4 linked regions of the Saccharomyces cerevisiae S288C genome follow. Changing the gene in region 1 together with any one later gene gives a genetic interaction. Each region holds a gene or a part of one and is shown on either strand. Other genes may lie near its edges.

Region 1 (8,124 bases):
CCTGCGATACATACTGGCTTCTCTGAATTTATGGTCAAATCTAAGAAGAAAGCTGTCTCCTCCATAGTGTCGGTCCCATGAGTGACAACCGCACCAGCGTAGTCATCAGAGGCTAGTGCCTCGGAGATACCGTGATACAATGGGATCAGATGCGTATAGTTTAAAGAATTTGAACCAACGTTAGACACTTGAAGATAGTCCAGATTTGCCTTCTCAGCTAAAGATGGGACGGCTTCTATTAAATCATTTACGGTTAATCCCACGCTATAACCCGCCGTTGTTGCACTTGTCGAACCCTTGGAAGCGATAGTACCGCCGGTACCAAAAATTTTGATTGATGGCAAAGAAGAATTCTTCTCTTCACGAATTTTTAGTAGTGGAGCACCACTGGACATTGCGACAAAGAGAGAAAGTAAAAGGGTATTTAAAGATCTCATAGTTGGAGGTTGGTGAGTACCAGATTGCTTACAAAAGAATAGCGAGCCAACATTTGCTCTGCCTCAGGCCTCTTGGTGCTGCTTGAAGACTCATCTTATATGGCTTTTGTATGTCATGATTTGTTCTTGTACATTATGTGTTGATATTAAACAAATTGATTTTTTTTTTTTTGCGATAGCAAGCAGATAATGAAAGAGACAAGGACTTGGAACATCCGATAAGACTGCGCCGATATCGATCTTACAGTCCTTCCCTTGTGTCATGACTTTCGGAAAAGCATCCTCGTCGACTGGTAGTTTGCTGTCTGTCACGTGCTGAAGGGTCTGATACATTTTTTTAAAGATAAGAGACGGGGTTTACCCTTCGGAGGACTAAGCGAGATCTCCAAGTAAAGATCTCGCTTATCAAGAAAGCAGCCAAGTGTGGAACGTCCTTTTTTTTGGTTTCAAAAAGATATTCAACAGTTTACACTGCAGCTTTAATTGCCTCAAAAGGATATCATGAGGTGATCTAGGGTCAGAAGGGAAAGATTACAGCATCTTGAGTTGAATCACATCTGCAAAAGGTGGTATTATTGACGTTGCTCTTCCTTAATGGAAACTCATGGGGTTTGGAAAGGAGGTGCGGTAATCTATTTTTTTCGAACACAAAACCTAACCTTGAAAAGAAACTGTCCAATTTCATTGAACTTACCTCAGAACGGGCCGGAGTCTTTGCTTTCAGTCTAACATGGTCTAATTTCTTCGAAAAGCTTCATTTAATTGTTAGACTGTGGTTTTACAAGGAAAAAACCAGTGCTATACTGAAGCGATACCCAGAACTAATTACCTTGTGTGACGATTCGGCTCAGCGAAACGGACATGGTAAAATTGGGAATTTGAAAGCAGGCAGCAGCCTTGTACAGCGACATGACGATAGGTTTAGAATCCCCATCACGTACGAGTTGAAGAATTCTACGAAGGCTCTATGCGTTATTCCTCTATCGGTATAAAGTGTAGCGTTGTAGGGGGGATATTGGTGGTTTAGTTGAATTTGCGCAACGAAATTATAGAACTCATAAAAGTTCAATTCAATACTTGAAACCCTTAACGTTGGTTCGACCATCAATTGTTTGGACATAATAGTTTTATTCTGCGGCCGATTTCAAAATTTAGTAAATCAAATGTTGAAGCATCACCAGTAGGATGACCACTCCCATGACAAAACTCCGTCCCAAAGATAGCTTGATCATCCTAAGCGGGTCGCATTTTACTATCCCCAGTTCCGAAGAATAACAAGGCTCAATGCATATGCTGTTTATCGTGCTCACAAGGCGGTATGACGTTTTTAGCAATGTAATTATATTAAAAAGATCTTCAGTCACTATGAGTGGTTGATTGCCCCATAGAGAGCTATAAGCCGACGTGAAAGCTGCTGGTTCCAGCTTGGCTCATGTCGTCACCAGTCACTAGTCACTTGGTCGCATTCATTGCTACTCATCTGCGAGTGAGCATATTTGAGATCTGACTTGCCAAGGGATTAGAATCACGTAAGACTCTTGATCCTTAGAAGATATTTCTGACAAAGAACCACCTAAGCCATGCAAGTTTTTTTTTTCATTTGGTGGCGAAACAAAGGTGATGAAAGTTTCTTCTTGTACAAACGCCAAGCCCGATAGGTGAGACAATTCTTGAAGTAATGGACCTCTGAGTAAGCATATCAGTCGAATGAAGTTCCAATATGCGTTGGCCAAGGAACAGCTAGGCAGCAACTCGCGCAGTGGCGTCAAAAAACTAATAAGTAAACACCACTGGCTTCCGGAATACTATTTCTCTGATCTCTCATTTTCTGTTGTACAGCAGTGGGACAGTAGAGCCATTGAAAAAACTACAATCATATCTTGTATGCGGCCCGCAAACCAAGAGATTTATCCTTTGAGACATTGTGAGACCCTCCGTTCGCAACCGTGCTCTCTGTTTTCATCACTATATGCACGCTCTTTCCAAAGCTCCTGCACTTTGCACGTGGCGGAGCCATCGCCCGGCTTCCATATGTACGGCTGCCACACCTAACTATTTCGGTTGCGGCCATATCTACCAGAAAGCACCGTTTCCCGTCCGATCAACTGTAGTTAAGCTGGTAAGAGCCTGACCGAGTAGTGTAGTGGGTGACCATACGCGAAACTCAGGTGCTGCAATCTTTTTTTTTTTTCCGCGCGCAAGCACGTTACCCGGACCCCGTCTTAGCACACGCACACGCACACGCAGCGCTCACAGACCAGCGAAACAGACCTGAGAGCCACGATGCAGCACACGCTTACCCGGACCGCCTCTCTGCCAGAACGCTCGAGCAGCGCCCACAGCGCCGCTACTGCGTTACCCGCACTTCGCCGCCCGCCAGACAGCTGCGAGACTCTCGTCCCGCTACTGTGTATCTTTTGGTTCGTCTTCGTTAGTATGAGCCCGCTCCCGCCGGCTCGTGCCAACAAATCAGACAACAAAGGCTTAATCTCAGCAGATCGTAACAACAAGGCTACTCTACTGCTTACAATACCCCGTTGTACATCCAAGTCGTATACAAATGATTTATCCCCACTCAAAATGACATTGCTATCCGCCGGCAAGCACCCAAGGCCTTTCCGCCAAGAGCACCGTTGCTAGCCTGCTATGGTTCAGCGACGCCACAAGGACGCCTTATTCGTATCCATCTATATTGTGTGGAGCAAAGAAATCACCGCGTTCTAGCATGGATTCTGACTTAGAGGCGTTCAGCCATAATCCAGCGGATGGTAGCTTCGCGGCAATGCCTGATCAGACAGCCGCAAAAACCAATTATCCGAATGAACTGTTCCTCTCGTACTAAGTTCAATTACTATTGCGGTAACATTCATCAGTAGGGTAAAACTAACCTGTCTCACGACGGTCTAAACCCAGCTCACGTTCCCTATTAGTGGGTGAACAATCCAACGCTTACCGAATTCTGCTTCGGTATGATAGGAAGAGCCGACATCGAAGAATCAAAAAGCAATGTCGCTATGAACGCTTGACTGCCACAAGCCAGTTATCCCTGTGGTAACTTTTCTGGCACCTCTAGCCTCAAATTCCGAGGGACTAAAGGATCGATAGGCCACACTTTCATGGTTTGTATTCACACTGAAAATCAAAATCAAGGGGACTTTTACCCTTTTGTTCTACTGGAGATTTCTGTTCTCCATGAGTCCCCCTTAGGACATCTGCGTTATCGTTTAACAGATGTGCCGCCCCAGCCAAACTCTCCTGGCGAAATTTATTGTTTTTACATAAACTGTATTATGAACAGAAGGTAGTAGTGCATTAGAGGTATTACATATCACGTGATGTTTATTTCTTTTTACCTATATATGGATTGAATATTAGAGTTACCCTACGTTCAATTTCTAGATTCTATGGTGTTACCCCTGATGAGTTCTGCATCTGTCCTATCTACCTATTTTACCGTTTTGGACGAATATTAAAGGGCGGGTAACACAAATACTGTCTGCGTAATCAATCTTTTTAGGACTAATTAAGGGTAGTTCCATAGTTATTAGAATCGTATTTCTCGAATTGAATTTCCTTCCCTATGATAAACTTCTACACTGGAAGGTCATCATTATTTTTTGTTAAGTACTTTACGAATGAGAAGGTAGTTTATCAGCTTATATTTCAGGTCCGTTGACTTTTTCTGGCTACAGTTGTTTTCAACTGGTGCTGCTGCAGGATATAGGAAGTCGAAGATTTATTTTTTTGCACAGCTTAATGTTCCTGGCGAAAAAGCAGCGAAATCGAGAGGTATTTACTGCTCAGAGATATGAAGAGGTAGGTACATATTCATTGGCAGATATTCTACAATGCAATTATTATGACCAATCACACAGTATTGTGCTGACCTCCATTGAGCGATGACTAAAAAAACTTTTAGTAGCACGTTTATTATTGCTTTCCCTTGCTGCTATAAGGGAAAATTCAGTAAATAATACCGAAGATATAATGGTGTTTATCAGATCAGTGTGATGTGTTCAGCTAAATGGAAAGCTACAGATGCTATCTGATCGAGATATTGCAAGAAAAGGTCTCACAGTATTTTTTTCACGTGCTTTTTTTTCAAGGCAATGACCAATATGAAACGATCGATGAGCATAGTAAACAGTATTATCTGGATAATTCTGTATGCAATGGTAACGGATAACTTAAAATCTTTATGTTAAGTATATACAATTGCATCACTTTTTTTTTTTTGGCTTGTGGCTTATATTAACAAATTTATTGTGCATTTTTTGCAATCTGAAGGGCTGCTTTAATATTGAATACGGGAAGGGCCCTTTCACACCCCACTATAAGTGCAGTTTTAGGAAGAAAGTATTAATGTATCCTTCAAAAAAGAAAATACACGTGCTGTTAATATACCGACATCGTGTTTTGGGGAATGGGTACTAGAGCCGCCGATATCTATTCATATTTTTTATGTAGCAACATCTCATTTGAACAAGAATTTATTGACATAGAACTTTATACAAGTATGAAGAGAAATTAGAAATTAGCAGAGATGTGAAATGAACTTACTAATAAATCGGCGTGGTCATTGGTTCAGTTTTTCTTCGATATAGGATACATTAGGGACAGTGGATGTATTTCCTAGGGCAACCATTGAAACTGGTTTGTTTTGTAATCTGTAATTTGCCCACATAATAATATCATCCTTAGTGATTTTATCAACCTGCTCGAAAACTTCTTCTGGTGATAATCTTTTACCTGTGGTCACCACTTGTCTGCCTATATCTTCTACAATGGCTGTCGATCCATCCAACGATAGCAACAGAGCTGCCTTTAGCTGAGCTTTTGCCCTATTCACCTCTGCATCCGATATTTTGCCAGATTTTATTCTCTTCCACTCTTTCAGGATCTCATTAACAATTAACTGCACGTTATGCTCATTAGAATCAGTTACTATGTACATTCCCCACAGACCTGAATCAGCGTAAGAGGTGGAAAATGACATATAAGAATTAGCCAAAGAACCATTTTGACTTGCTGCAACAGCTAATGGAGAGGGGGAGTTTGTACCTGTGCCAATGGCTCTGTCCCAGTTACCAACAATCGCTTGTGTTGCCAGAGCTACAAAATAATCAGGTGCAGACCATGACACGCCTTCTAATGCGATAGCAATATGTGTTGTAGGTAACGTGTTTTCTTTGATAAACCTTTCACCTCTACAAAAAACTGGTAATGGGCCCCTTGGTGATCCCAACGGGACAGGCGATTCAGATTTGGGCACATGGCCAAAGTATTTTTGAGCATACTGTACCAATTTTTCATGATCAACAGCGCCCGCACCTGCCAATACCATTCTGTCGCCTTTATAGTTCTTGGTTATATAGTCTTTCAAATCAGTTCTTGTTATTGATTTTATGTTTTTTATAGGACCCAGAATGGTTCTTCCTAAAGGTTGGTCCTTATACGTAATCTCATGAAGATGGTCAAAAACAACTTCATCATACATCTTGTCCACCTCTTCACTTTCTCTGATGATGACATCCCTTTCTCTCTCAATAGCACTATTATCTAAAACTGACTTAGTCAAAATATCACTTAGAATATCAACAGCCTTTGGGATATCTTCTTGTAGGGACTTAGCATAATAAACTGTGTTTTCTCTTGATGTATATGCATTCAAATGAGATCCGATATTTTCAATTTCCAATTCAATTCCTTGTTGTGACCTATTCTGAGTACCCTTGAAAGCCAAGTGTTCTAGAAAATGCGCTGTACCATTGTTTTTTACGTTTTCTGCCCTAGAACCAGCATCGACAAATATTCCAACAGTAGCCGAAGATGTGTTGGGGATGTACTCTGTGGCAATTGTCAACCCATTAGGAAGTTTAGAGGTTCTGGTTCCTGGAATTTGTGAGGAAATTGTACTTAAAAGCCTCCGTGTATTACGGAACTTGGATGCTGTTCTTGAAAACATTGTATGATCACCTATCACTTTGCGCACTAGTTTGATGCCTGAGAGCAAGATATCATGATTTATCCATAGCGTTCAAATTCACTTCTTATTACTAAAGAGATGAGTCCAGCTCGATTACGAATATCACTAAATACGTGAAAATAATATTGGTCATCTAATCTGTGCACTGAACAGTAGTATCACCCATTGTTGGCTGAGAAATTAAGCTCAGCATTTTAGCTTTCCTCACTACGTGTTGAGGAATTTAATACGTAAATATAGTCTTAGTAAAGCCGTGCATTTTACTTCTTAACTCCTTTGGACGGGATCAAGTTTAAGGAGAATAAAACCCTGATTCGCACCTTCAACGCGGCTCTAACATGGTACTATCAGACTCTCACATCCAGATTGGAGTACCCTTATCCGAAGTAACGATTTTTTATTACGGTTTAAGATAATAAGGGACGCGTATGATAACTAAAAATCGTCAGTTGAAGGGCGCTGGCCATAGGTATCCCTTAATTTTGACGTCGAATTTCATAGAAGCAAACCTATATATTTTCAGTCCCCAGTGGACAGACCGTTTATCAGTTCTAATGAATCAGCAACGATTCTCAAAAAGGTTGCCCCAATTCTTAGGAAAGTAGGAATGTCATCGACTAAGTTTTTGAAACCACTCTGCAGAATAAGGGCTTTTCATACTTCAATTGCCAGATCCTTTACCATTCCTTTTCTGCCAAAGATTCCACAGAAACCTGGAGGTGTGAGTGGGACCGCAAATGATTCCTCTTATATGCCGCCCGAAAGCAGAGCTCAGGGTTCGTACCATTGGATTGTCGAGCGCGGACTGTCCTTAGCGGTTCTTCCGCTGATCGCAGTTCCCTTGGTCACTACAGGCCCTATTTCCACTTTTACCGACACATTTCTTTCCTTGGTCCTGCTAGGTCATTGTCATATCGGATTTCAGTCTTGCATTATAGACTATATTTCTGAAAGAGTCTATGGAAAGGTACATCATTACGCGATGTATTTATTGAGCTTGGGCTCCTTTTTATCGTTCGTCGGTATATATAAATTAGAGAGTCAAGAAGCTGGTCTTATTGCCTCTTTAAAATCATTATGGGATAACAAACCTGTGGAAAAAAAGAGGCAGTAATCATCAATTAATCAATATGGTTTGGTTAGTGGTGACTACCTTTTTTATTCTCGTTATATATGTGTATTAGAAATAATTTAATAACCGATTATTTATTGCTTATTTTACTGGTCCCAGTTTTCCAACAGGACTTCTTTTATGGGCAAAGTGAACTCACCCTCTTCATTGACGTATTTTCTTGACCAAAGTTGGCCAGTATTATTGTGTTCCATAGGTATCAAGTGCGTTTTAGTTTGCAGGCCAATTTTCGTTATTATGCACGCTGAATGCAACGCTATTTGGTCATTGAACAACTCTGGAAAATTGACAGTGCTGCCATGTCTCTTGTCGTTTAATATGGGCTGATTTAAAATTTGAGAGACGTGATTTCGAATCTGATGTTTTTTTCCTGTAACCAATTGTAAAACAATACAATTTTCGTCAACTTCTTTGAACTTAGTAATCTCCCTACCACCATGTGAAATCAAGAAATTATATTTAGGACCATATTTAATTTCATAGTTATTTGGTTTGTTGAAACGACCGGACGACTCGACAATAGCTACATACTTTCTTTGCAACTTATAACCGTTGTTGCCGCCCTTTTG
Region 2 (8,007 bases), on another chromosome or scaffold:
AGCCGCATCGGAACTAACGCTAAGTCCCGTGATGTCAATGTATATACCTGAGTCAATATCGATGAAACGAGCATCAATATTGTTTTCGCCGTTCCCATGAACTCCTACCGTAATTGCGCTTCCTACATCTAGTAAGAATCTTCCATTACCTTCTCTTGGATCTTCTAATATTAGGGATTGGTTGAAATATTGACTCAAGTAATGTAAATGTTTAATGGGCATCTGTAAATCATGGTCGACATCCCAGGGAAACTTCAGACCATCATATAGATATCCATACAATGTACCATGCGATAGCCAGGAAATTAATCCGTTAGCCTTAACAAATTTCTGAAAATTTCTGATCAAAGAATTCAATCTTGCTTCAAACTCCTGAGGGTCATTTAGGAGATTATGTCCGATTGAGAAAAATCGCCTGTCTCTATGATGACCATCGGCAGTCGCGTCCGTAATATCAGAGGCCTCTGCGAAATACTTTTGCTGTAATGCAGGGGACGTATTTACGGACGTCTTTAAACTTCGTAAATAGTGGGTATCATGAGATGGTAGGCCTTCAGACCTGAGCCTGGTCTCTAATTCAATGATCCTCTCTTTTGCATTGAATTGGAAATCAGATGGTGATAGTTCTAGATACTCTCCAGCGTATATTGTTTTATCCAACGCTTCAACGTCAAGTTTCCTTTTTTTAGTGGATCCATGATGTAAAAATTTTTCAAACATGGAAGTGTGGTTGAAAATGAGGTCGCCATTTACCATTTCATTTCTGTGCCTCTTAATGTAATTCTGTAGTAGATTTGTCTGTACTATATTTGATTTGGAAGAGTCTGTTGTCTTCAAATTGATTCTGTATGCATCTTTATCGCTGTCCAGTACGGTTAATGACAGTGGAGTAAAGTTAGAATATAACAAGTGGTTTTTGGCTTGTAAGTCATACACTTCTGGCCTCAACCTTTCAGAAATTTCGCTTATGATAAAAGGCAATTCGAAGGGAGTACCATTGGAATACGCGTCATTATTCATGCAGTGATCATGTATGGCTTGCTGCACAGAATTAGAATCGACAACCTTTCTTACCCTGTTGTACCAGAGCGATTCGTCATATTTATTCCTATTTGTGACGAATAAAGGCTCTTGGACTTCACTCTCTACCATTTCTAGCACATTTTTATCAAAGGCACCCTCGCAAACGAACTGGCAAGATATGTTCGTGTGTCTCAGTGCAATGAGTTTGTTTGTAGAGTCAAAATTAGCCCAATCGTACCACGAAAATGCGTATTCATTGGAATCTGATTCTAATAAGTGATCTAGTAAAACTGACCATACCAGCCTTGGGTCGTTATCGTAATATCTCAATTCATCTACCGAATCAAGAACTTGCCCTTTTTCAGGACCCATTTTCACAGTGAGAAGATTATTCTTCAAGGTGTACGTGTCGATCCATTTGCCTGAAGTATCAAAATTCATTTTTTCGTAAAGTTTGGCTACGTTGTCTTTTGATCTCAGATCGAAAGAAGCATGGTTGTTGTTTCTGTTAGTGTAAGCAAGCGGTTTGAAAAAGAGCGCCATGAATGACTTCCAGTTACCGTCAATAATCGACGAGCGACCGCCCAATACAAATATGGTAATGAATAGTAACTGGATAGTTAGAAGAGTAATGATTATCTTTTTAAAGTGAAGCCGCAGAGATCTCAAAACGTACATGGAGAACCTGCGCAGTGATAACATCATTGGAATTGTATCTTGCTTCGCTTTCTTTTCTCTTTCTCTCTTTCTTTCTCTTCCTCTCGTTTAGACAATCTCAATGATTCTAATTCATAAAAATAAACGTTGGTTGTTTTCCAGAAAGTAAATAACAGTTGTTGTTAACTATATAAGATACAAATAGCGGAATGCCAGACTAAAGACAAGTGCACTCTTACTTGATCTTCGTCCAATGTTTCTTCTTAAATAATCAAGCAAAGCCCCAAAGTAGAAATAGGCCCGTGATTGTCGCGGACCTTCAAGGATGTGACGTTTTTGCCTGTTTTTTTCAGGTAATCCTCTCCACTACTATCTTTTTTCTTTTCTGCGACCCAAAAAAAAAAAAAGGAAGGGAAAACTAAGATTTTTTGATAAAAGGCGGGAAAACGGAGGTTGTGCGTATTTCTCTTGGCGATTTTTCCATTGAACGTCAAAAAATTCTTGGCAAAACTTTTTTACTAAGCCATTTAGGGATGAAAAACAATAACGTACAAAGACATATTTGAAAGTCCGTCCCGTCCTCTTTTACTTGCTGAGTTTGAGGCTGAGTGATTCTCTAATACCATCCGGGCGGTTTCAAATATGCCGATGGAATATTGATAAAAACTTAACAGAGGTGCTATGGGGCAGAGACGCAGATACATAGGGAGACTCGAAATACATTTAGCTATCTATTTTTAACTCTCAAGCCTCATGTGGATTATCGCTCCTAGTGCTTTTTCTTTCGTTCTCTTGTTTCTTGTGAGTGTGCATATCCTCGTATTCTATTCCCTCCTTCCTTAAAACGCGTTTCATGTACTCGATTTCTTTGTAAGCATTTCCCAGTTCTTCCTGCAGTTTCTCATTTGCACTGGCTAATTGCGATGCGTTTTGCTCGCTAAGCAATTTTTGTAACGTCCACTTTTCGATGTTTGCTTCATCGGTTTCTTTCAATTTTTGAATGTATTCAGCGGCACACGCCAATATTGCTGCCTTACTTGATTCTCTCACGGGCAGGAGGTCGCTTAAAACGTTGATTGCAGTGTTGATGTTTTCGCGGCGACGCCTTTCGACTTCTTTATGGGAGTCTTTTCTTTGCTTTTTCCACTCGTCTGTTGTGGCCAAAGTAGTAGGTTTTCTTCCACGACGACCCGGCTGCATGCTTATATCCTTTTTGAGATCAATGTCAGCGTCATCATTGTCTTCATCATCCTGTTGGTGTTCTGGCCCACGATCGTGTTCTGCCAATGGTATGAGCATGTCGTTTTTAGATTGCTGTGTAGATTCCATTGGTGAAGACGTCATTCCCTCCAGGGAGGTGTTTGGCTTGACTCCTTCATTTGATGGGGTTATGGCTCTTTCCCCATTAAGGGAATCCTTGTGCTCACCATTCGCGTTCGTTTGATTAGATGTGTGGGCATCAGAACTATCTTCCTGGCCCTGGATTAAGTCTGTATAATTGACGGTAGCGGCAACAGCAGCCTCAGCCACTGACGCATCTTCGTCATCACTTCCTTTCTCATCTTTGTTAGACGTCAGTCCGCTTTCATACTGACTTTGAGTCCCTTTTAGCGTAGCCCCTTCGCTCAACAGAGCAGAGTCAATATTTCCGTCATTGCTCTCTTGTGACAACAAGCCTTGATCTCTTTGCTTTTTCCTGGCCTCGCTGTAGTTCTGCTCCTCGTTATAGCCTCTTTTTCTTGCCGAATGGATTTCCTCATCCTCAGTAGAAAGCTTATTATTATTTGCCAGAGAGTTCATCGTTAATAAAAGTGTAGAAAACCGTATTATATTTTAAGCACTTGATGTTGGTACTTGTAGCAGAAATGAAAATGACCGCCAACTAAAATGATTAATTAACAAAGTGTTTATCTTTAAGGTATAATGGTTTACATTCTACATTAAATAAAAAAACGTGATAAGCACGTGGATAATTGTTGTTTGCCCAATACTTTTCTCGTCCGATTTTATTTTTTTTTTGACCTTGGTGGGTGAGACATGGTGGTCCCGAAGGATCCGAGAGGAATGAGAAAAACCGATCACGTACATCGATGTACGGGAAAAATAAATAATAAAATGTTTGTTTATTGTTTGAAGTAAAATATATAAGTACATATGTGGATTTATATGTGTGTGCTTTATTTCATTGTTTGATTTATCTTCCGTTCTTTATCTTTTCCCGGTGGGATATTTTATATAAAAAGCTTATAAGGAAGGGTATGAAAGAATATGACGATACTAAAGCATAAAAGAGGGAATTAAAGAAGTCCTAACGTCTATCTTGAGATAAAGGCGCTCACGGATGACATGTTTGTAACGCTGTTGGTAATGTCCAAGTGGTGGTGAATTACCTTCTTCTTTTTCGAGGATGACACGCTTGGACTTCCGAGGCTTCTCAGTGAATTGCTTGATGACGAAACATTCGGTGCGCTAAAGTTCTTTGTAGAAGCCGGTGTTTCCGATTTGAGTGATAGGTCGCTCATACGCTTATCTAATTGAGTGCCAGCCTTTGCAGGGAGCGGAGTGGGGCCATTATGTGTTGGTGTAGTAGGGGTGGAGTTTAGCATCGACTTTAATTCCTTCATTGTGGAATCATCTTCGCTTAAGTTGTCCTCTACTTTTGTGGAGGTTGGTGTTGGTTTTTCCAATATGCTGTCCACATTAGTCGTGGTAGCCTCTTCAATGACTTTGTCCTTGTCGCCGTTCTTGACCTCATCTTTCTTCAAATTTTCCTTTTTATCTTGCTGCTTAGGTTTGGTGCTTTCATTCCCCCCTTCATCCCCAACATCGTGTGTTTTGGTCTTTGCGCTATCTTTTACCTTGGATTTTTGTTTCAAGGAAGGAGATTCTGCAATTTCCAACATCGATCTTGGTTTAGAAGTGAGCGTTTCCTTTTTTAGGAATGGATTAGACGTGTGAATGACCTCTTGATCATGGGGTGCATCTAATGAATTTTCACTAAAATCATTGGTAGAAGTACTTTTCCTTAATTCAGGAACCCTTACTAAGTCATCATCATTTGGCTCGACACATGTTTCAATTTGTTGGAAAAACGGATCATTAAATAAATCATCCATTGTATATCTAGTTGCAGGGTTCGGGTCAGCCAATCTCCATGCGATACGCGTGGCATCAGTATTCTTGAAATTTCTTGCTAAAGAGTATTCGGAACCAGGACCCGGCTTGTGGCAGCCCTTGTCCCTGAAATGTGGGTTTTGATGATTGATGAAGTTGTCATATGACACTTCAAATTCCCTGAATCTCGCATCAGTGTTACAAGAATCGATGAAGGGGATGATATTGTTAATCATGGTAATCAGCATGATTCCGAGGGCATAGGAATCCATGGCCAACGGATTATAGGGTTTTTGGAACTTTTCGGGGTAGTGCTTCTTGGCATCGAAGTACATTACCTCTGGCGGAGTGTATGGTGGAGAGCCAATCATACCTTGGCATGTTTTCACTGGACTAGTGTAGTCATGAGGTATCACATGGTACCAATCAGAAATACCGAAATCCGTCAATTTGCATATACCTTCTTTAGAAATTAAAACATTTTCGGGCTTCAAATCACGGTGAGCAATACCATTGTCATGACAAAACTTAATACCTTGGGCCACTTGTTTGAAAAGACAATATTTTTCATTGAAGGGAACGTTCTTCCAGCCTGTTCTTTCCATCAGTTGGAAGAGGTCCTTAACACCTAGTTCCATAATAAACCCCCAACCACGAGTTGTATATGTGGTCGTGGGAACTTTTAGAAGATAAAAAGTATTCGTGATGTGAACGTTATGACTTAAATGCTTAGCTATGATGAATTCTTTGGAGCATCTCTTGTAAAACTTCTCGGGTGACTCGTGGTATATCATATTCAGTTTTTTTAGAGCGTAAACATCCTTTTGCCTGTAACTTGATTTAACCTTTCTAACTTCACTAGACCCACCCGAACCAATAGGTTTATTGTCCGTATCAAATACGAAATTATCCGTTAAATGGACACTATATTGTTTCATATCTTCGGGCAAAAAATCGTTCGGATTAGCAATTGGAAGGGGCAACATCCGTATCTTGCTGTTACCATCATGCATGTAAAAACTCAAATCGTTCTCCTTATTCGTATTCAGAGTGTCTGCAAATGCAGTATCTGGCCTAGCATGGTTTGGGCTTATGCCGTATGGATTATAAACTATATTCTCGTTGGGAAAATGGTGACTAGCCATGCTATTAGACCTTTGCGGTAAGCCCGCGTGATGAGTATTTCTTTCTTTGTTTCTCGCCCTTTCTTTTTCCTTTTCTCTATCCAAAACTGCTCTATCCCTATCTCTTGTCGAGGCAATGCCAGTACCTGTGCCCAGAATATCAGAGGGAGAGTTCAAGTAAGGGTTATTATTATGTTTAATTAAGTCCTGCAATGCGACAGAGGACTTGTGTGACGACACAGACCCATTTGAAAATCCTACAGAAGCATTGTTTTTTCTTCTATGTAAAGAAGCAGATCTCTGCCGTGCCCCAGCAGAAGACGAAGGTGAATTACCACCGCTACCACTGCCACTAATGGACGGAGACGTTGGCCTTTTTCTTAAACTTCTCCCATTGCCCAATTGTTCGGCACTAAGCAGTAACGAAGAGTTATCCGTGTGACTGCTGGAATTAAACAGGCGTTTTCCCAATAGTTTCAAAGTACTAACAGAGGGACTTTTATCTACCTCTTTGTCCTTACCGTTTCCCGCCATTATCTTATTCAATCGGTTAACCTGTAAAAAACTGCTACGGCTTACACAACTTTACTTTCCTGGTGTGCGTGCGATATCGTGGTTTGGATAAGGGTAGCGACGGGATGTGACAATACCTTTCTTTAACACTATATATAAACCTGCTTTTACCGTCAACCGGATATTATTTGGTTCTACCTCCCACCTGCAAGGGGTCGTGCCAATGACGAAAAGACAGCCACCCATGCACCGCACTCGCACGTGGCAACTATTTGCGCCTTTGCCCAAGAGGTTATGCTTGTAGATGGGGTGACCGTACTAAAGCGTTCATGTTGTATATACCATATATGTAGGCTTGAATGGCTATAGGACGCGGGTATGTTTATCATGCTGCCGGCACGTAGTACTTGCAGCTCCGGCATTTCTAAACTGTACCTGTAGTGGAAGGGTCTTTCCAATAGTTTTGCAAGACATATCATTTTGCACGCATAGAACAGTTTCGGATACTTTTGATACAAACGGGGAGGAATGGTTTATTCAGTAGGTACATTAAGAACGTTTGCCTTGAGATAGCGTTTGGTGCTGTTATTTTGTGAAGAACGGAGACTTGTTTGCTGTAAGGGATAAAAAAAATGGCAGTACAGTTTATACTGTGCTTTAATAAGCAGGGTGTGGTGCGGTTGGTGAGATGGTTCGATGTACACAGTTCGGATCCTCAGCGTAGCCAGGATGCCATTGCGCAGATTTATAGACTCATATCTTCCAGAGATCATAAGCATCAGAGTAACTTCGTAGAGTTTTCCGATTCGACGAAACTCATATACAGGAGGTATGCGGGTCTGTATTTTGTCATGGGTGTGGACTTACTTGACGATGAACCCATATATTTGTGCCACATCCATCTGTTTGTGGAGGTGCTAGATGCATTTTTCGGCAATGTCTGTGAACTGGATATCGTATTCAACTTTTACAAAGTCTATATGATAATGGACGAGATGTTTATTGGAGGGGAAATACAAGAAATTTCAAAGGATATGCTGTTAGAAAGACTAAGTATTTTAGATAGACTAGACTAGGATATATGTACAGATCCTCCTAGAAGAACGAAAATTTATCATGATCAATATGCGTACTCAAAACAGGCTCAACGATTTGCCAAATAAGCGCTTCAACTTCCTGAATGCCCTTATTAGTAACGTCTACAATCGTGATTGACTCATCGCCTTTCCTTATCTCTTTATCCAATAGCTTCATAAAAGTTTGCTTCACTTTTTCTTGAAACTTAACAGTTTCGTATCTTTCGTCACCAAATCCAGATTTTTCGGCGTTATTGTCGACATCTTGAGTGCTTAAAAATAATGTCAAATCCGGTTTCAGCAACCCTACATCGGGTTGCAAGCACCAATCCAAATCCATTCCATTTGTCCCCTTAGCGGCAGAATATGCCACTCCAGAATAAACATATCTGTCCATGACAATGTTCTTGCCTTCTAGTAAATCTTTCTTTATCTTGTCAACTATTTCCCATCTATTTGCCGAAAACAAGAGGTGAATTGCCTGATCTGATAATTGGAAA
Region 3 (8,504 bases), on another chromosome or scaffold:
CCGGGCGACTATCTTTCTAATGTAAATAATTTCCAGTTAATCGATTCGACGCTGAGAGAAGGTGAACAATTTGCCAACGCATTCTTCGATACTGAAAAAAAGATCGAAATTGCTAGAGCCTTGGACGATTTCGGTGTGGACTACATCGAGTTAACCTCACCAGTAGCATCTGAACAATCAAGAAAGGACTGTGAAGCTATATGTAAACTAGGTTTAAAGGCCAAGATCCTTACACACATTCGTTGTCATATGGATGACGCCAAAGTCGCCGTAGAGACTGGTGTCGACGGTGTCGATGTCGTTATCGGCACCTCCAAATTTTTAAGACAATATTCCCACGGTAAGGATATGAACTACATCGCCAAGAGTGCTGTTGAAGTCATTGAATTTGTCAAATCCAAAGGTATTGAAATCAGATTTTCCTCTGAAGATTCCTTCAGAAGTGATCTCGTTGATCTTTTGAACATTTATAAAACCGTTGACAAGATCGGTGTAAATAGAGTCGGTATTGCCGACACAGTTGGATGTGCCAACCCAAGACAAGTATATGAACTGATCAGAACTTTGAAGAGTGTTGTTTCATGTGACATCGAATGCCATTTCCACAACGATACTGGTTGTGCCATTGCAAACGCCTACACTGCTTTGGAAGGTGGTGCCAGATTGATTGACGTCAGTGTACTGGGTATTGGTGAAAGAAACGGTATCACTCCTCTAGGTGGGCTCATGGCAAGAATGATTGTTGCCGCACCAGACTATGTCAAGTCCAAATACAAGTTGCACAAGATCAGAGACATTGAAAACCTGGTCGCTGATGCTGTGGAAGTTAACATTCCATTCAACAACCCTATCACCGGGTTCTGTGCATTCACACATAAAGCAGGTATCCATGCCAAGGCCATTTTGGCTAACCCATCTACCTACGAAATCTTGGACCCTCACGATTTCGGTATGAAGAGGTATATCCACTTCGCCAACAGACTAACTGGCTGGAACGCCATCAAAGCCAGAGTCGACCAGTTGAACTTGAACTTGACGGATGACCAAATCAAGGAAGTTACTGCTAAGATTAAGAAGCTGGGTGATGTCAGATCGCTGAATATCGATGATGTTGACTCTATCATCAAGAACTTCCACGCAGAGGTCAGCACTCCTCAAGTACTATCTGCAAAAAAGAACAAGAAGAATGACAGCGATGTACCGGAACTGGCCACCATCCCCGCCGCCAAGCGGACTAAGCCATCCGCCTAACGTTCCCAAACCATTACATTATGTTCTTTCACTTATTACATACGATATATAGCATCTACATCTACATATCTAAATGATGTTTTTTCCCATCTACTTTGTCCGATACGCATTAAAAGAAGAAGATTTACTCTCCCGTGATGCCGGGCCAATCAGACGCGCGCATTCGCGGCAGAATAAGGGGAGGCTGCTGCGGGTACCAAATATCCAGATATTCACAATTATGCCAATCAACTGTCTAGTTGCTGACACCCATCGTTTTCCACTGCAACGAGGTTTTGGGGCTAGAAAAGGCGTTAACAATCGTTAGAGAAGGAGGGGTTCATAACTTGACTTGTTGTATCTTGTTTAAAACTTTCTTTGAATTTGTTCGTGGTTGAATTTGTTTTTGCTATCCCAAAGGAGTGCATTTTACACGCATTACTACAGCACACTTTTATACAGTTCCACAATAGAATATGTTACCACGTTCAGCATTAGCACGCTCATTGCAATTACAGCGCGGTGTGGCCGCAAGGTTCTACTCTGAAGGTTCTACCGGCACCCCAAGAGGGTCAGGCTCAGAGGATTCGTTTGTTAAAAGGGAAAGGGCCACGGAAGACTTCTTCGTTAGGCAGCGTGAGAAGGAGCAACTACGCCATTTGAAAGAACAACTGGAAAAACAACGAAAGAAGATTGATTCTTTGGAAAATAAAATTGACTCGATGACCAAATAATCATGCGTTTCCGCAGAAGCTTTTTTTTTTTTTTTTTTAGAATATTCTTACTCTTTTATAGTCAAACAGCAGAAAAACTATATAATAATACATCACACTGAGCTTTTGCATTTTCGATAACTATCATTCTAGTTTTCCTCTGGTTTGAATTTTCCTCTTGTCTGTCTGACTAATGTCACTCATTATTTCCACTTCGCGCAAAGTTCGTCCCAATGCGGAAAGGCATAGAAAGATAGGAACAGTGTGGAACATGGAAAAGTTCCAAATAACGTCAATAGTCCATACTTAAGATACGAAATTTCAAAATTCCTTCTTTTTTGTTTCAACAAGCTTAGCCTAACACCAAGAATATACTTAGCATCTCTTCGCATTCAAAATTTCTCTTCCATTCTTTGACGTTTTAAATCATACCTCGTATTCTTTACACAAAAGAAAGATACCTGTGAAATATATCTGAATATGGTCCGATTAAATCATGCAGCATCATATTTTATGCCTATTTTCTGCTCCACAAGGCCTCACATAGTGATACTTTCTGCGCTGTTTAGTATTTCACTGTTTTCACTATTCTATGCGTCGTCCGAATTACTGCTACACCAGTATGATGATCCATTGATGTTCAAACCAAATTCGCAGGACTATTTCAGGACCTTTCTTTTGGGGCTTTTTTCACCATTTCTTTATTATTTCCTGAAGACCTTTCTATTCAATATAAATCAAAGGTTTTTAATATTGAACCTGATAGTGGATTTTCCTATCAACGACGTCTTTATGCTTTTGATACTGATTGGTTTAGCGTACCCTCAGGTGCAAGATCACGAAGGCGGTACGATCAAGCATAAGGAATGTTCTTGGCACATCATTCCAAGACAAGCCTATATCTTTGGTATATCATGGGCCCTGGGTGAATTCACCATATGCATAATAGGGAATTTGTTTAACTACCAAGAAATCGCCGATCCAAACATTAATAGTGGCTTCACACACCAGGAAAGCGCCAACACTTACTGTAACAATAATGATATGAGCCATAACGATGACTGCGGTTGTAGTACAGAATATCGCCCCAACGTCGTAGACAGAAGTGATATTACGTTGTCCAAATGTATTGAAGTAAGAAATGACTCATCTTCCATATCGAATAACGTATACTCGTCTGAGTACCATCCAATCAAACCTCTACGTTCATCGTCATCAACTTATGGCAGCATACGACAGCAACCTCATGAAAATAAGAAGCAGCTGCATGTACCAGATAATTCGCAGGACGATACAATTATCATGATGAACCCCATCGACAATTCATTAAAGTTGACAACTCTAGATACGGGTGATTTGAGTTTCCCCATAGACGAAGAACAGCCCATTTTGAAGAAATCTTTTGGTTATACATGGGCAGTTCCTAATGAAAATACACAAAATACTACTAAAAGCTTCACACCGATAAAGAGATTTATTGCATTTAGCACGGCATACCAGTTGGTCACCGGTTTATTGTTAATGATATTGGTAGTTGGTAGTAATATCATGTTGACAATTGGGGAATCATTGATTCTGTCGATGTATTTCGTCTATGTTCGCGGCCATGAAGGATTATTTACTCCCGTGGTGAACTACTTCGGCTCAAGAACCATTTCAAATTTCATCTTATGCGTAATAATTCCTTTCATATCTCTAAACTTCCTCATCAACACTTCGATATATTTAAGAAGAGAGCTAGACGATTGGTTTAATAATTCACAGGGGGAGTTTGAGGACGACGACGAAAATACTATCAGTAAGAGAGTAGCTACAAATCAAGAGTACCAACATCCACTGAGTGCTAATTACATTTCGATGGATAGTCCTGATGTAATAAATAGCAGCCCGGGTCACTTCGGGATGAATTCAGGCCAGTTGTTAGGTAATACGACGTTATATTATGGTAGTTTAAATGGGGATGATGATGATATGACCAACGACTCCGCTTTACTAAGATTCTGCAAGAAGCTAGTCAAAAATTGGAGGGCTTTGGCAAGAAATGATTCTTTTGTACTTGGAGTAATGGTTTCTTGGAGTCTTCTTGTTTTTGTAACGGGAATACTTTCAACAGTTTATATATAGCATATAAGTAACGACCGTGCACATATTAGGGTGTTCATATCTTGAAAAATCTTTATGTTATCCATTTTACTTTAGGGGAGGTGGAGCTTAATAATAAAATTTACATAAGAACAACAATCTGTAAGTAATTATAAAAATATATTAAAGGGACATTTTAACCCTACTTTAAAAGTTTAACTACATCAGTGGTTCATCAATCAAAGGTTATGCAAGGTAGAAATTTGTCCAAAAGAAAATAGATCATGCATCATTCAATATGGAGCTCACACTGTATGCTACAATTTGGCCTCCATTCATAACTGCCAAGATAAAATTTGTTGGCAATATGGAGCTCACACTGTATGCTACAATTTGGCCTCCATTCATAACTGCCAAGATAAAATTTGTTGGCAATATTGAAAATTCTTAAATTAGCGCTGCGCGGAAACCAGCGTCACTAATTTTTTTTTTTATTGCTGCACTAAAAAAAAACCAGCTCAAGTAGATAATCTTACAAGGGACAAGTAGTCAAGCCTTGCTTATTATAATTCTGTTTAACGGTGCAGTGAGTTTGGACATTCATGCAACGTGGTAAATATGTGTCTCTTTGCTTCTGTATTTAAGCATTTGGGCAGCTTGCGGTCAGTAGAAGAGTGCATCGACATTCATAGATCTCTAATAACATATATTTAAGTGGATATACGCAAAGAAAGGACAAGAAAACTTGTTTCGGTAACAGCATTATTAATTCTGAAGAAATACGCACAAAGAGATGATTTCTGACTACGATGCTCTTTTGCAATTCAACAAAAAACCTGTTTCGCAAGAAATGATTCAGTTCTTAGCCACTTCTACTGCTTCCATAATTAAAATCAGGGAAAATAATAATCCAATCCAAGGATGTCGCCCACCAGACTTATCTATCTTCATTAAAAACGTGGTAATTCAGTCAAATGTTCAAACACCAACTTTAATGGCCACATCAGTTTATTTAAACAAACTGAAAAGCGTAATACCAAAAAATGTGTACGGTATTAACACCACAAGACATCGGATATTTCTCGGATGCTTGATATTAGCTGCCAAAACTCTGAACGATTCTTCTCCCTGGAACAAACACTGGACCACGTACACAGAAGGTTTACTCAGAATACGTGAGGTGAATACCATCGAACGAGAACTATTAGAATATTTAAATTGGGATGTGAGGATAACTACACCGGATTTGATTGATTCTCTTTCTTACTTCCTCGGGCCTATCAAGGAACAACTATTTTTACAAAGGAGACAAGAAATGCTGTTGTTCAATGCACCAAGTCCCGGCCAACTGAAAGAATATATAAATCATAGAAGACCGGTTTCGCATTCTAGAACTTCTTCTGCTATATCGGTTCCTTCACTGACATCCATGGCAACAGTTTCGACAACAGACTCAAGGTCTTCTCTACTGGCAAAATACCAACCGTCCCTACCGTTGGTGGAATCTGACAACTTCAACAAAAAAAATCATGTGCCGTTAAGGAATAATAACGATATCTGTAATAATTTCAGGGCAGAGGAAAACATACACTCAGTAAACCATATTGATGTAACAATGGGAAGTTCACCAGTAATGTCGCATAAGCCCACAATTCACCAACGGTTAAATTTTACAAGGAGGGGCTGGTCATCGTTTTTCAAGCAATAATTCTAAGTTACTCGCCTTTTACAAGCTCTATAAATATTCTTTTCCGTTCTTTAGTTGTCTTAACTTTGTACAATATGAATAACCATCGTTTCTAGGCTACTAAAAAAACACCATACTACATAAACAAATATCTAATAATGAATACTCTTGGCATTCGTCTTGTTTCTCGAGGAATATCGGCCGAGTTTTTTTCATTTTGACAGGTTATATAATTCAAAATCTATCTGACTCTGAAAAAGTGGTAATAAATGCATTGACAACTTCTTCTCTTTATTTTACAGACATTAATCCAGCACTACAAGTGGCATATAACAAGATGCTAAGAAACATTTTGGTGAGAAGTACTGGCAGCAATTTCAAATTTGCTGGCAGATATATGAAATCATCAGCTCTTTTAGGATACTATAGAAGAGTTAACTATTATTCGACCAAGATACAAACCAGACTGACTAGCGAAAACTATCCAGACGTGCATCGAGACCCTAGATTCAAAAAATTAACGTCCGATGATCTAAATTATTTTAAATCTATTTTATCGGAACAAGAAATATTAAGAGCCAGCGAATCAGAGGATCTTTCATTTTATAATGAAGATTGGATGAGAAAGTACAAAGGACAGTCCAAGTTAGTATTGAGACCTAAGTCAGTGGAAAAAGTTTCTTTAATCTTAAATTATTGTAATGATGAAAAAATTGCCGTTGTCCCACAAGGCGGTAACACGGGGTTGGTAGGTGGTTCTGTGCCCATTTTTGATGAATTAATTCTATCTTTAGCAAATTTAAACAAAATAAGAGATTTTGACCCTGTATCAGGTATCTTGAAGTGTGATGCTGGTGTAATCTTGGAAAATGCTAACAATTACGTAATGGAACAAAATTATATGTTTCCGTTGGATCTGGGAGCTAAAGGTTCCTGCCATGTTGGTGGCGTGGTTGCAACCAACGCTGGAGGACTAAGGTTATTGCGTTATGGCTCACTACATGGAAGCGTTTTAGGCTTAGAGGTGGTAATGCCCAATGGTCAAATTGTTAATAGCATGCATTCCATGAGAAAAGACAACACCGGTTATGATCTGAAACAGCTGTTCATTGGCTCAGAAGGTACTATCGGTATCATCACTGGTGTTTCAATCTTGACTGTTCCTAAGCCAAAAGCGTTTAATGTATCTTACTTGTCTGTTGAAAGTTTTGAAGACGTTCAAAAAGTCTTCGTCAGAGCCAGGCAAGAATTATCTGAGATTTTATCCGCTTTTGAATTTATGGATGCTAAATCTCAAGTATTGGCCAAGAGCCAATTGAAGGATGCTGCCTTCCCTTTGGAGGATGAGCATCCATTTTATATTCTTATCGAAACGTCAGGGTCAAACAAAGATCACGATGATTCCAAACTTGAAACATTTTTAGAAAACGTCATGGAAGAGGGCATAGTAACGGATGGTGTAGTGGCACAAGATGAAACCGAACTCCAAAACTTGTGGAAGTGGAGAGAAATGATTCCAGAGGCAAGTCAAGCTAATGGTGGTGTTTACAAATACGATGTTTCTTTACCACTAAAGGACCTATATTCTTTGGTTGAAGCCACTAATGCAAGACTTTCTGAAGCTGAATTAGTGGGTGATTCGCCCAAACCAGTGGTGGGCGCCATTGGATACGGTCACGTGGGTGATGGTAATCTACACTTAAATGTTGCAGTTAGAGAGTACAACAAGAACATTGAAAAGACTTTGGAACCATTTGTCTACGAGTTTGTTTCCTCAAAACATGGTTCCGTTAGTGCCGAACATGGGCTAGGTTTCCAAAAGAAAAATTACATTGGCTATTCTAAGAGCCCGGAAGAGGTCAAGATGATGAAGGATTTGAAGGTTCATTATGATCCTAATGGAATTTTAAACCCTTACAAATACATTTGAAAATAAAATGCCAAGTTTTATAGTTATCTACATATGTATATATTTATCAATATTATATTCTACAATTGTGTATATTATATGGTAAGGGTGATATTTAAGGAAGAAATCCACCCTTCTTTAAGGTTTCCACTGCACATGTTGAAATGTGTCTGAATCTTGATGAGCCCAAAGGCGTGCCACCATACCATCTGGTCACTATTACCAAGACGTTGAATATGTTTGCTCTTTCAAGTAAGGTCAATAAACGCTGTCCAGCACCAGCTTCGCCACAGTCAGCACATCCTTGCTCAATGTTCTTTGGCTGCACCGTTATGTTCCTTGACTTGTTAACATGACTATTATTACTCTTATTTGCTTTATTGCCCTTCTTTTTCTGCTCTTGTTGTAAGTGCAAATTATTTGATACCTCGGCCGTTCTCCAGGCATACATGTGCATGTGGGATGCCTTGGAGACGCTTTTGTTGTTTTGCGTTAGTTCTTGGAGTATGGAGGGTATATCCTTTTGATTTTGTAATGGGCAACATCTTGCTTGAAATTTCGATTTTCTATCAACTAAAACTTCTGATTCATTCCATATTTTCACTAGCTTACCAACATTCTTACTCATTTCTCCAAAAAATAGTAATACCAAACATCAATACCTATCTAAGAATCTGTATAATGTCTTTTCTAAAGGTTTTTTACAGCTGATGATTGATGCATGACTTATTTCCACAGTGCCGTATTTTCTCAGTTGCCGTTTTGGGTCTGCTTTTCACAATGCGAAGCTTTGTTGAAAAGAGCTCTAAGGTCAAAAACAATAGTAAGCTGATCGGTATTAAGTACTTGCCTTCCTGAAAATTGCTAACAAACATCCAAATAT
Region 4 (8,699 bases), on another chromosome or scaffold:
CTCTCAAGCATTCGAGAATCAAATTGATGGCGTCTATTTCGAAAGAATCCGGCCTCGAGGACAAAAACGAAGAATATTCACGATGGCTTTGCTCGGGTTGCTGTTGGTCCTCATGTGCCTTGGGCAACTCAGCATGAAACATCATCATGGTATCCTCCTCGGCTAAGACCTTCAAGGCTTCTTCTATATATTCTTTGCCAATTGGAGGGAATTCTTCCACACCAGAATCAAGCAAGAATCCTTTGAACCCGCGAACGCCAGCTTTGACAAGCGGAATTAAGTCTGGCAAGTTGTGTGGTACCAGTCCACCCCAAAACCCAACATCGCACCACATTTGGCCCTCAGCAGCTTCCAATTTAATTCGGAAATTCTCCACATTTGTTGTGGGAGGAATAGCATTTAGCGGCATATCAACCACCGTTGTGACCCCGCCACTAATAGCAGCTTGAGTTCCAGTTTCGAATCCTTCCCAGCTAGTCCTACCGGGCTCGTTCAAGTGAACATGAGAGTCCACAAGTCCAGGCAGAATTGTACATGGAGATACGTTCTCCAGCGTATGTATTTCATATTTGGTTATCTCAGTTTTCTCCATAACCACGGAGCCTTCTAAAACATCCAGAATCGTGCCTGATTCGGTCGAATACACAATAGTCGCAGGTTTATTTGCACCATTGATAATGACATGGTCGGAAGTGATGGCATTGATAGGCATCTTTGTTCTTCGCAGTATTTCACTTTTTTTTTGCCTATACGTTTTTGCGAAATATACACTTTTCTAACCTAATTAAAGATAGCTAAAAGAAAAAGGGGTACCTTCAATTACAAGATACCAGTAGAAACTCATCACTTTTGCGTTACCTCATCATTGTCCCCTTCGATGAGATATGCCTCCTCTATATAGATAATTAAGCACCGCAATTTTGAACCACTTCTCCTGATAAAGTTCCATCAGTCCACCATCAACACATTTGCGCCTATTCGATGATCCGCAGTAAGGGACAATAGAATCGAAACATGCAGTTCCTTTCTTTCCTGCAATTCTCGGGTCTAATGTGGCTCGAGGGTATCTCTTATCGGTATTACTTTCTTATCAATGAAAAATTTCTGCCAGGGAAAATGCGCCCGCTTTTTTTCCGGCCATCCTTACTCGCTGTCGCATACAAAATAGCGCCTCTAATCTAGTTGCGATAAGGAATGTGTATGTGTAATTGAAGATCCAGGATGTTTTCCTTTTCAGGGAGATGAGAAGGAATAATAGGATGGATTGACCGCTTTGCTGTCACGTCGATAAGGTTCCTTTAAAAATTGTGTCCAATGATTAGCATAGAGAGGTAGAGTATCAGAGAAACAAGTTTGTAATCGAGAAACTTGATCTGCTAGTGTTGAGCATAGAAGGCTAGGAAAACATGGGGAAGAAAAAAAAAGTATAAATAATTAGCTTGATGAGTAGTTTGAATATATATGTTACTTTAGTTTCCCTTTTTGACCTTTTATATTCATCTACATCTTGTGATATAAAACATCAACAAAGACGAGAATGGCTAACGACGCTCTAAGTGCTATTTTCAGTAATCCTTCGAGGAAAGGTGTCCAACCCTCCACATCTATTGTGTCATATACAAACAATGAAGATGATATTATAGATGTGGAAAATGGGAAGTTCAACAAGAACAAGAATATCAACACTAATGTGTATGTGGACAACTCCTCAATAGAGGAGAGCGAAGTCGTGCCCTTGCCCGAAACAAAGTCCATCTGGAGTAAAATATACTACGATTTCATTGTGTTAGACAAGACAACTTTGAATGTTTCGTTGAAAGAGTCGTTCTTGTATAACAGAGACTTGAAACCGGTTGAAGAAGAAAGAAGGTGTTGGTCCTGGTTCAATTACTTATATTTCTGGCTGGCAGACTGTTTCAATATTAACACATGGCAAATAGCTGGTACAGGTCTACAACTAGGTCTGAATTGGTGGCAATGTTGGCTTACAGTTTGGATCGGCTACACTTTTGCAGGTATCTTCGTAGTATTGAACTCGAGATTTGGTTCCGCATATCACTTATCTTTCCCTATTACTGTTAGGGCCTCATTTGGTATATTCTTTTCTATGTGGCCGATTATAAATCGTGTCGTGATGGCTATAGTATGGTATGCCGTGCAAGCCTGGTTAGGTGCAACGCCCGTGGCACTGATGCTAAAATCTATTTTTGGCAAGAATCTGGAAGATAGAATCCCAAACCATTTTGGTTCTCCAAATAGCACTACTTTTGAATTCATGTGTTTCTTTATATTTTGGGTGGTCAGTATACCATTTGTCCTAGTGGCTCCTCATAAAATCAGGCATTTATTCACAGTAAAAGCAGCTTTGATCCCCTTCGCAGCCTTTGGATTTTTAATCTGGGCTTTGAAGAAATCGCACGGTAAAATTGAGTTGGGGACGCTGAATGATTATTCACCTCATGGTTCCGAATTTTCATGGATATTCGTTAGATCCCTAATGGCCTGTGTTGCTAACTTTGCCGCTTTGATTATCAACGCCCCTGACTTCGGTAGATTTGCCAAAAATCCTCAAGCGTCTTTGTGGCCACAATTGGTTGCCATCCCATTGTTCTTCGCCATAACATGTTTGATCGGTATCATTGTTACTGCGGCCGGTTATCACTTATATGGGGTTAACTATTGGTCACCACTGGATGTACTTGGTCAATTTTTGGAGACCACTTACACCAGAGGTACTAGGGCTGGTGTGTTCTTGATTTCTTTTGTATTTGCCTTAGCTCAACTGGGTACAAACATTTCTGCCAACTCTCTGGCATGTGGTGCTGATATGACGGCTTTGTTTCCAAGATATATTAATATTAGAAGAGGTTCTTTATTCTGTGTGGCAATGGCTCTATGTATCTGTCCATGGAACTTAATGGCCAGTTCAAGTAAGTTCACCAGCGCTTTGGGTGCTTATGCAATTTTCCTTTCCAGTATTGCTGGTGTCATTTGCGCGGATTATTTCGTAGTAAGAAGAGGATATGTGAAATTAACACATTTATTCCTGGCACAGAAGGGTTCCTTTTACATGTTTGGAAACAAATTTGGTGCCAATTGGAGGGCCTTTGTTGCGTATATTTGCGGTATCGCTCCAAATTTACCAGGTTTTATAGGTGATGTTGGAGCTCCAAAAATTACGGTTTCAGAGGGTGCAATGAGGTTATACTATTTAGGTTATCCGGTAGGTTTCTTTATTAGTGCGGTGATATACCTCATATTATGTTACTTTTTTCCTGTCCCTGGTACTCCCGTAACCAATTTTCTGACAGAGAAAGGATGGTTCCAAAGATGGGCTTATGTTGAGGACTTCGAGCAAGATTGGAAGAATGAGTTACGTAGGGATGACCTCTGCGATGACACAGTCAGTATCTATGATGGCACCGAGGAAAAGATAGTTTACTAAATAAAAATCCCAATTTATTCTCTTACCAGTAGTGATCAGGAGAATTGATAATTTCTTCAAAACACCTTAATATTCGTTCTGTGTATTTTTATGTACCTTTCTTAATCAAATTTATCAGCTTCATACATGCATTCCCGTCTGAATAATGTACTGATGATTAGCTAAACCGTCATCAACCTACCAAACTTGCGCTTGTTTGAGCCTATCAGAACTCCGGATAATTCCGACATCTTATCTTTGACTCGAATTAGCGATAAGATAAAAACACAGGAACCACAATGAAATTCAGCTGGAAGAAAAGTCTAAATTATAGACACATTTTCTGAGATCAAATGCTATAAAGGAATGGAAGTGCATTTTGCTATGATATGGGGAAATTATGAAGCCGATCAAACAATTAATTGTATCTAATCGGTCTCTTCTTTAGAAAAATGAAGTTTTTTAGTTTGGCAGATGAGGCAGAATTTAAGTCAATAATCATTTCAAAAAACAAAGCAGTAGATGTTATAGGATCTAAGTTAGGTGGTCAAGTGGTTTCTTTTTCAGATGAATGGTTTGCTTCTGCTGAAAATTTAATTCAGCCAACTGCTCCTATAAGGGATCCTACCAGATTTGTTCATTCAGGCGCATGGTACGACGGCTGGGAAACACGAAGACATAATGAGATGGAATACGATTGGGTTATCATCAAGATGGGAGTCGCTGCTGCCCATATTATTGGTGGTGAAATTGACACTGCGTTTTTCAATGGTAATCATGCACCATTTGTATCAATAGAGGCGCTCTATGACGAGGGCGAAGAAGGTAATATAGTGGAAGATGACTCGCGTTGGGTTGAGATTGTTGAGAAATTTGAGTGTGGTCCTTCGCAAAGGCATCTTTTCGTTAGAGGCAACGGCCTTACTAAAGAAAGGTTTACTCACATCAAGCTGAAGATGTACCCCGATGGAGGAATCGCCAGATTTAGATTATACGGAAGAGTTGTTCCTCCAGAACTCAAAACGAAGGATCATATAATTGACTTGGCTTATGTTTGCAATGGTGCTGTCGCTTTAAAGTATTCTGACCAACACTTCGGTTCAGTTGATAATTTGCTACTGCCAGGTCGAGGTCATGATATGTCGGACGGCTGGGAAACCAAAAGATCGAGACAACCAGGTCATACTGATTGGGCGGTAATTCAACTGGGCAGGGAGTCTTCTTTCATTGAGAAGATTATTGTTGATACGGCACACTTCAGGGGGAACTTCCCTCAGTTCATTACCGTGGAAGGTTGCTTGAAGGAGTCAGAATCAAGTGAGAACACTGGTGAAGGAACATGGGTAGAGCTAGTTGGTAAGTCAAAGACGGGGCCTGACAAAGAACATGTGTATGAAATACGTAAGAGTATAAGAGTCTCCCATGTCAAATTAACGATTATTCCAGATGGAGGAGTGAAAAGAATAAGAGTTTGGGGGTACTGATAAATACTTAACTACTGTATATTTTAAACCAATGCACTCTTGGCACTTTAAAAGTAAAGGTATAAATGTAGTTAAAAGTTTTTGTTTTGATAATTGAATGTTTTCATTTCGCTATCCCCACGCTACTTTATTTACTTCTTCTTCTTCACGACAAAACATTAAAATTTACACTCTATAAAAAACAATCATATTTCTATTTATTTTTGTGAGTTGACAAATCTTATCATAGTGATTAGAATCTGTAAACCGATCTCAATCGTGTCCAGAAACAGCGTGCCATCCCTTTGGAATGTTTTCGCCAGTTTATTTTGCAAACCCGAGAATCCTGCACAACCTAATATTACAATGTCTGAATCAAGCTTTTTAATATTTTCGCGATATATAATTTCTGCTATCTGCTGGAAATTTTCTGGACTATGTAGGTCGAGGACCTGTAAATCAGTAGATACCGTACCTTTCCATAAATTTTTGTTAACTGTATTCCCTGTCAAGAATTTCGATTCCACAGAGTTATTCAATATTGGAATCCATTCTTTATTTGAAGTAATAATAGAGAACTTCTTTCCAACCAAATTGCAATAATTAATACTACTATCTAATAACCCAACAATAGAAACATCTGCTTTTTCTTTAGCAGCTCTATCCTTTATCTTTGCTACCAAAGGATGATCTGAAAAACAGGCAATTAATATCCCGTTGAATTTCTGAAAGTAATATACCGACTCCTGGTCATCAATTAAGAGGGGAAGACAGGCCTCCATACTTTTAATACTTGTTTCCTGCCCATCAATTTGTGGTGGCGACGTGTCTGGCCCTGTGAAATAACTGATTTTACATGATTCCATTGAAAAAGTCTTTTCAATGGTTTCCCGCAAGGACACCGTCATTGACTTCGAACTATTAGGATTCACAACAAGTATTCTTGTTTCCATCGTTCGATAATTTGCTTAGCTAGTTTTTCTTTGTTCTTTTGATTTTCCTGAGGTAAGAATTAGTAATTCAGTTTCCTTACATATTCTCGCTTCAAAGGCTTAAATATGATCTGGCATGGAGAAAAAATATGAGTTCAATTTGTCATACCTTATCAGGCCTTATCAGCTCAAATTTGATTGGATTATGCGTTAAAACAGCGCCTAAAATTCTTCGAATATTCGTCAGGTTATGTACGTATACATTCTATAATTTACTTAAGTCAACTGGTTTGGCACTTGGCTTAATAATTTCATCATACAATAAAGTGGTCAAGAAGTCGCTAAAGATTTTACCAGTGACTTCAGGCAAAAAATACTTGGCTGCCAAGGCAAACTTGTTCTTTTCACCCAGCGGACTTGCTGAAGCCAATTTTGCAGTCTCTTCATTTAATATCTTAGCGGTCAATTCTGGAGTTACTTTGTCACCGGTATCACTTAAGACAACACCATGTTTAACCCACTGGTACAATTGACAACGTGATACTTCCGCAGTAGCGGCATCTTCCATCAAATGATTAATTGGGACACAACCAGATCCCCTTAACCAAGCCTCCATATATTGTAGGCCAATATCCAAGTTTACTCTGATTCCCTCAGTAGTGACTTGAGCATCTTGAATCTTCGTATTCAATAAATCAGATGATGTAACATGTACATCCGGGACAAAATATATTTGATTTGCTGTACCCATGTTACTGAAAACTTCATTACAAATCGGTGCCAATGCTGGGTGTGCTACCCATGACCCATCATGCCCATTCTTCATTTCTCTAATTTTGTCATTACGAACTTTGTTCATTGCAGCTTCATTAGCCTTTGGATCATCTTTTATGGGGATTTGGGCAGCCATACCACCCATCGCATGGACCCCTCTACGGTGACATGTATTGATCAATCTTTTCACATAAGCATCCATAAAAGGTGAAGTCATAGTCACTAGATCCCTATTTGGCAAAACGTGTTCAGGCAAGTTTCTCAGTTTTTTAATGGTCGAAAATATGTAGTCCCAACGACCACAGTTCAAACCGCTTGAATGTTCTCTTATTTGATAGATAATCTCCTCCATTTGGAAGGCCGCTGGCAAAGTTTCAATCAGAACAGTGGCCCTAATGGTACCGCGGGGCATTCCAATAAAATCTTGTGCAACACAGAATATGTCATTCCATAGTTTTACCTCCATATGGTGCTCCATCTTTGGTAAGTAAAAATAAGGTCCTTTACCAATTTTAACTAACTCTTTAGCGTTATGGTAAAAATATAAACCAAAATCGAAGATGGAAGCACTAATCGGTTCATCATCTATGTAAAGGTGCTTCTCCACCATGTGCCAGCCACGAGGTCTGACAATTAAAGTGGGCAGTCTTGAAATGTCATCCTTCAACCTGTACTCCTTTCTTGGTGTCTTGAAATCGATTTGATTTCTAATGGCATCATAAAGATTAACTTGTCCGTAAATCATGTTCTCCCAAGTTGGAGATGAAGAGTCCTCGAAATCAGTCATATATGTCGTTACTTCAGCATTCAAAGCGTTGACTAACATATTTCTCAATGGTGGCCCAGTAATCTCGCTGGATCTGTTGATCAAACCAGGGGCTGGGATAGCACCTTGCCATGTAGGATCGTTCCTGATTTGTTCGGTTTCCGGCAAGAAATCAAATCGGTATTCACCAGAGTCTAACTTTGATTGTAAATTGCTTCTGTTGGCTAAAAGCTGTTTCCGTGTTGAATTGAAAGTTCTATGCAGCAAAACAATGAACTCTAAGGCATCTTTTGTTAAAATATCAGCTACAGTAGTTTTGGAAGGTTCAAATTGAGGAGTCGTGTCGATGTCTGCGTATAGAGCAGTGTTGTCCAAGCTTATCTTCACCATTGTTCAGTGCTCTTTACCGTGCCTATGACACATACTCTAAGTGATATCAACTGCACAGAAAGTGAAGAATTAAGACTACATGCGTAAATGTCCCCATTTTATACTTATTGCTTCACCAATTGACGAAACTATCCAATCTTTGTGATACTTTCACGATGTACCTTATCCAAGATAAGCCAAAACTTATGAAATTCAATTTATGTGATAAGAAAAGCAAACGCAATTTTCCAAAATCCGCGGTATTCTATCGCACCGCAACTTTCAGCGGAGATTTTATGTCGATAATCGTAAACCTATGAAATTACTAATACATGAACATTTACATATTTACTTCGCCCACAGTCGCAGAATTAGATGATAATACAAACGTCGCCATCGCTGTAGTGTTCTTCCACACAGTCCTTCTCGGGCCTGTCAGGGTCCAGACTTTCGTAGATTAAGACTGAAAAATCCAAATGTTCTTCCTTGCCAAGTACTATCATGGGCGCATGCCAGGTACCTAAGCCATAGGTAACGGCCTGATTACCCAAACATGTAAAAGCCCTCAACGTAGACAAGTCTGGCTTATTTCCAATTTCTTTAGCGACTACTACCAAGTATGCTACTTCCGCTGACGTTCTCCCCATAGGCACAAACGTCTGCGTACTACACGGATGCTTTTCGAGGACTTTGATAGAATGAGAAATCGCCTGATTGGAGCCTTGAGTGAATACTCTATTCAGGTGCGGCTGTGGAAAGCAACGGAATAGGTTCCAATTGGGAACTTTACTGGTAGATTTATTCTCTACCTGGCTTACTTGAAGCAATTTGATCGCTGTTCCCTGGTTTGCACCTTTTTCAAGGTTTTGCATCCTTGAAATCTCTTCATCTGGCGAAATTATCGTCCCATACTCCTCGAAGGACTCTTTCGTCAATGTCTCCGCCACCACGGTCACCATATCTTTGCTTCA

The links.
Region 2: mutations in SHH4 (region 1) and APS2 together harm fitness more than expected from each alone (negative genetic interaction), as found in Saccharomyces cerevisiae (one large-scale study listed by BioGRID).
Region 3: mutations in SHH4 (region 1) and PCL9 together harm fitness more than expected from each alone (negative genetic interaction), as found in Saccharomyces cerevisiae (one large-scale study listed by BioGRID).
Region 4: mutations in SHH4 (region 1) and DAL2 together harm fitness more than expected from each alone (negative genetic interaction), as found in Saccharomyces cerevisiae (one large-scale study listed by BioGRID).

Annotation. Positions count from the first base shown.
Region 1 is NC_001144.5:486,853-494,976, forward strand, and holds SHH4 (protein SHH4), read left to right. Parts: upstream 1-7,030; coding exon 7,031-7,537; downstream 7,538-8,124. Other genes in the region: asparaginase ASP3-4, read right to left, coding at 1-437; YLR161W (uncharacterized protein), read left to right, coding at 2,145-2,489; YLR162W (uncharacterized protein), read left to right, coding at 2,721-3,077; RRT15 (Rrt15p), read left to right, coding at 3,554-3,742; MAS1 (mitochondrial processing peptidase), read right to left, coding at 5,014-6,402; pseudouridine synthase PUS5, read right to left, coding at 7,642-8,124. UniProt on the Saccharomyces cerevisiae protein: Homolog of SDH4, but seems not to be a stoichiometric subunit of either the succinate dehydrogenase (SDH) complex or the mitochondrial inner membrane translocase TIM22 complex.
Region 2 is NC_001142.9:544,232-552,238, reverse strand, and holds APS2 (Aps2p), read left to right. Parts: upstream 1-7,063; coding exon 7,064-7,507; downstream 7,508-8,007. Other genes in the region: MNN14 (Mnn14p), read right to left, coding at 1-1,728; CBF1 (Cbf1p), read right to left, coding at 2,425-3,480; protein kinase PTK2, read right to left, coding at 3,996-6,452; CDC8 (bifunctional thymidylate/uridylate kinase), read right to left, coding at 7,527-8,007. UniProt on the Saccharomyces cerevisiae protein: Component of the adaptor complexes which link clathrin to receptors in coated vesicles. Clathrin-associated protein complexes are believed to interact with the cytoplasmic tails of membrane proteins, leading to their selection and concentration.
Region 3 is NC_001136.10:133,473-141,976, forward strand, and holds PCL9 (Pcl9p), read left to right. Parts: upstream 1-4,818; coding exon 4,819-5,733; downstream 5,734-8,504. Other genes in the region: homocitrate synthase LYS20, read left to right, coding at 1-1,251; INH1 (ATPase inhibitor), read left to right, coding at 1,707-1,964; AIT1 (Ait1p), read left to right, coding at 2,424-4,067; DLD2 (D-lactate dehydrogenase), read left to right, coding at 6,050-7,642; YDL177C (uncharacterized protein), read right to left, coding at 7,737-8,249. UniProt on the Saccharomyces cerevisiae protein: M/G1-specific cyclin partner of the cyclin-dependent kinase (CDK) PHO85. May have a role in bud site selection in G1 phase.
Region 4 is NC_001141.2:406,931-415,629, forward strand, and holds DAL2 (allantoicase), read left to right. Parts: upstream 1-3,876; coding exon 3,877-4,908; downstream 4,909-8,699. Other genes in the region: DAL1 (allantoinase), read right to left, coding at 1-712; DAL4 (allantoin permease), read left to right, coding at 1,538-3,445; DCG1 (Dcg1p), read right to left, coding at 5,106-5,840; malate synthase DAL7, read right to left, coding at 6,085-7,749; DAL3 (ureidoglycolate hydrolase), read right to left, coding at 8,100-8,687. UniProt on the Saccharomyces cerevisiae protein: Utilization of purines as secondary nitrogen sources, when primary sources are limiting.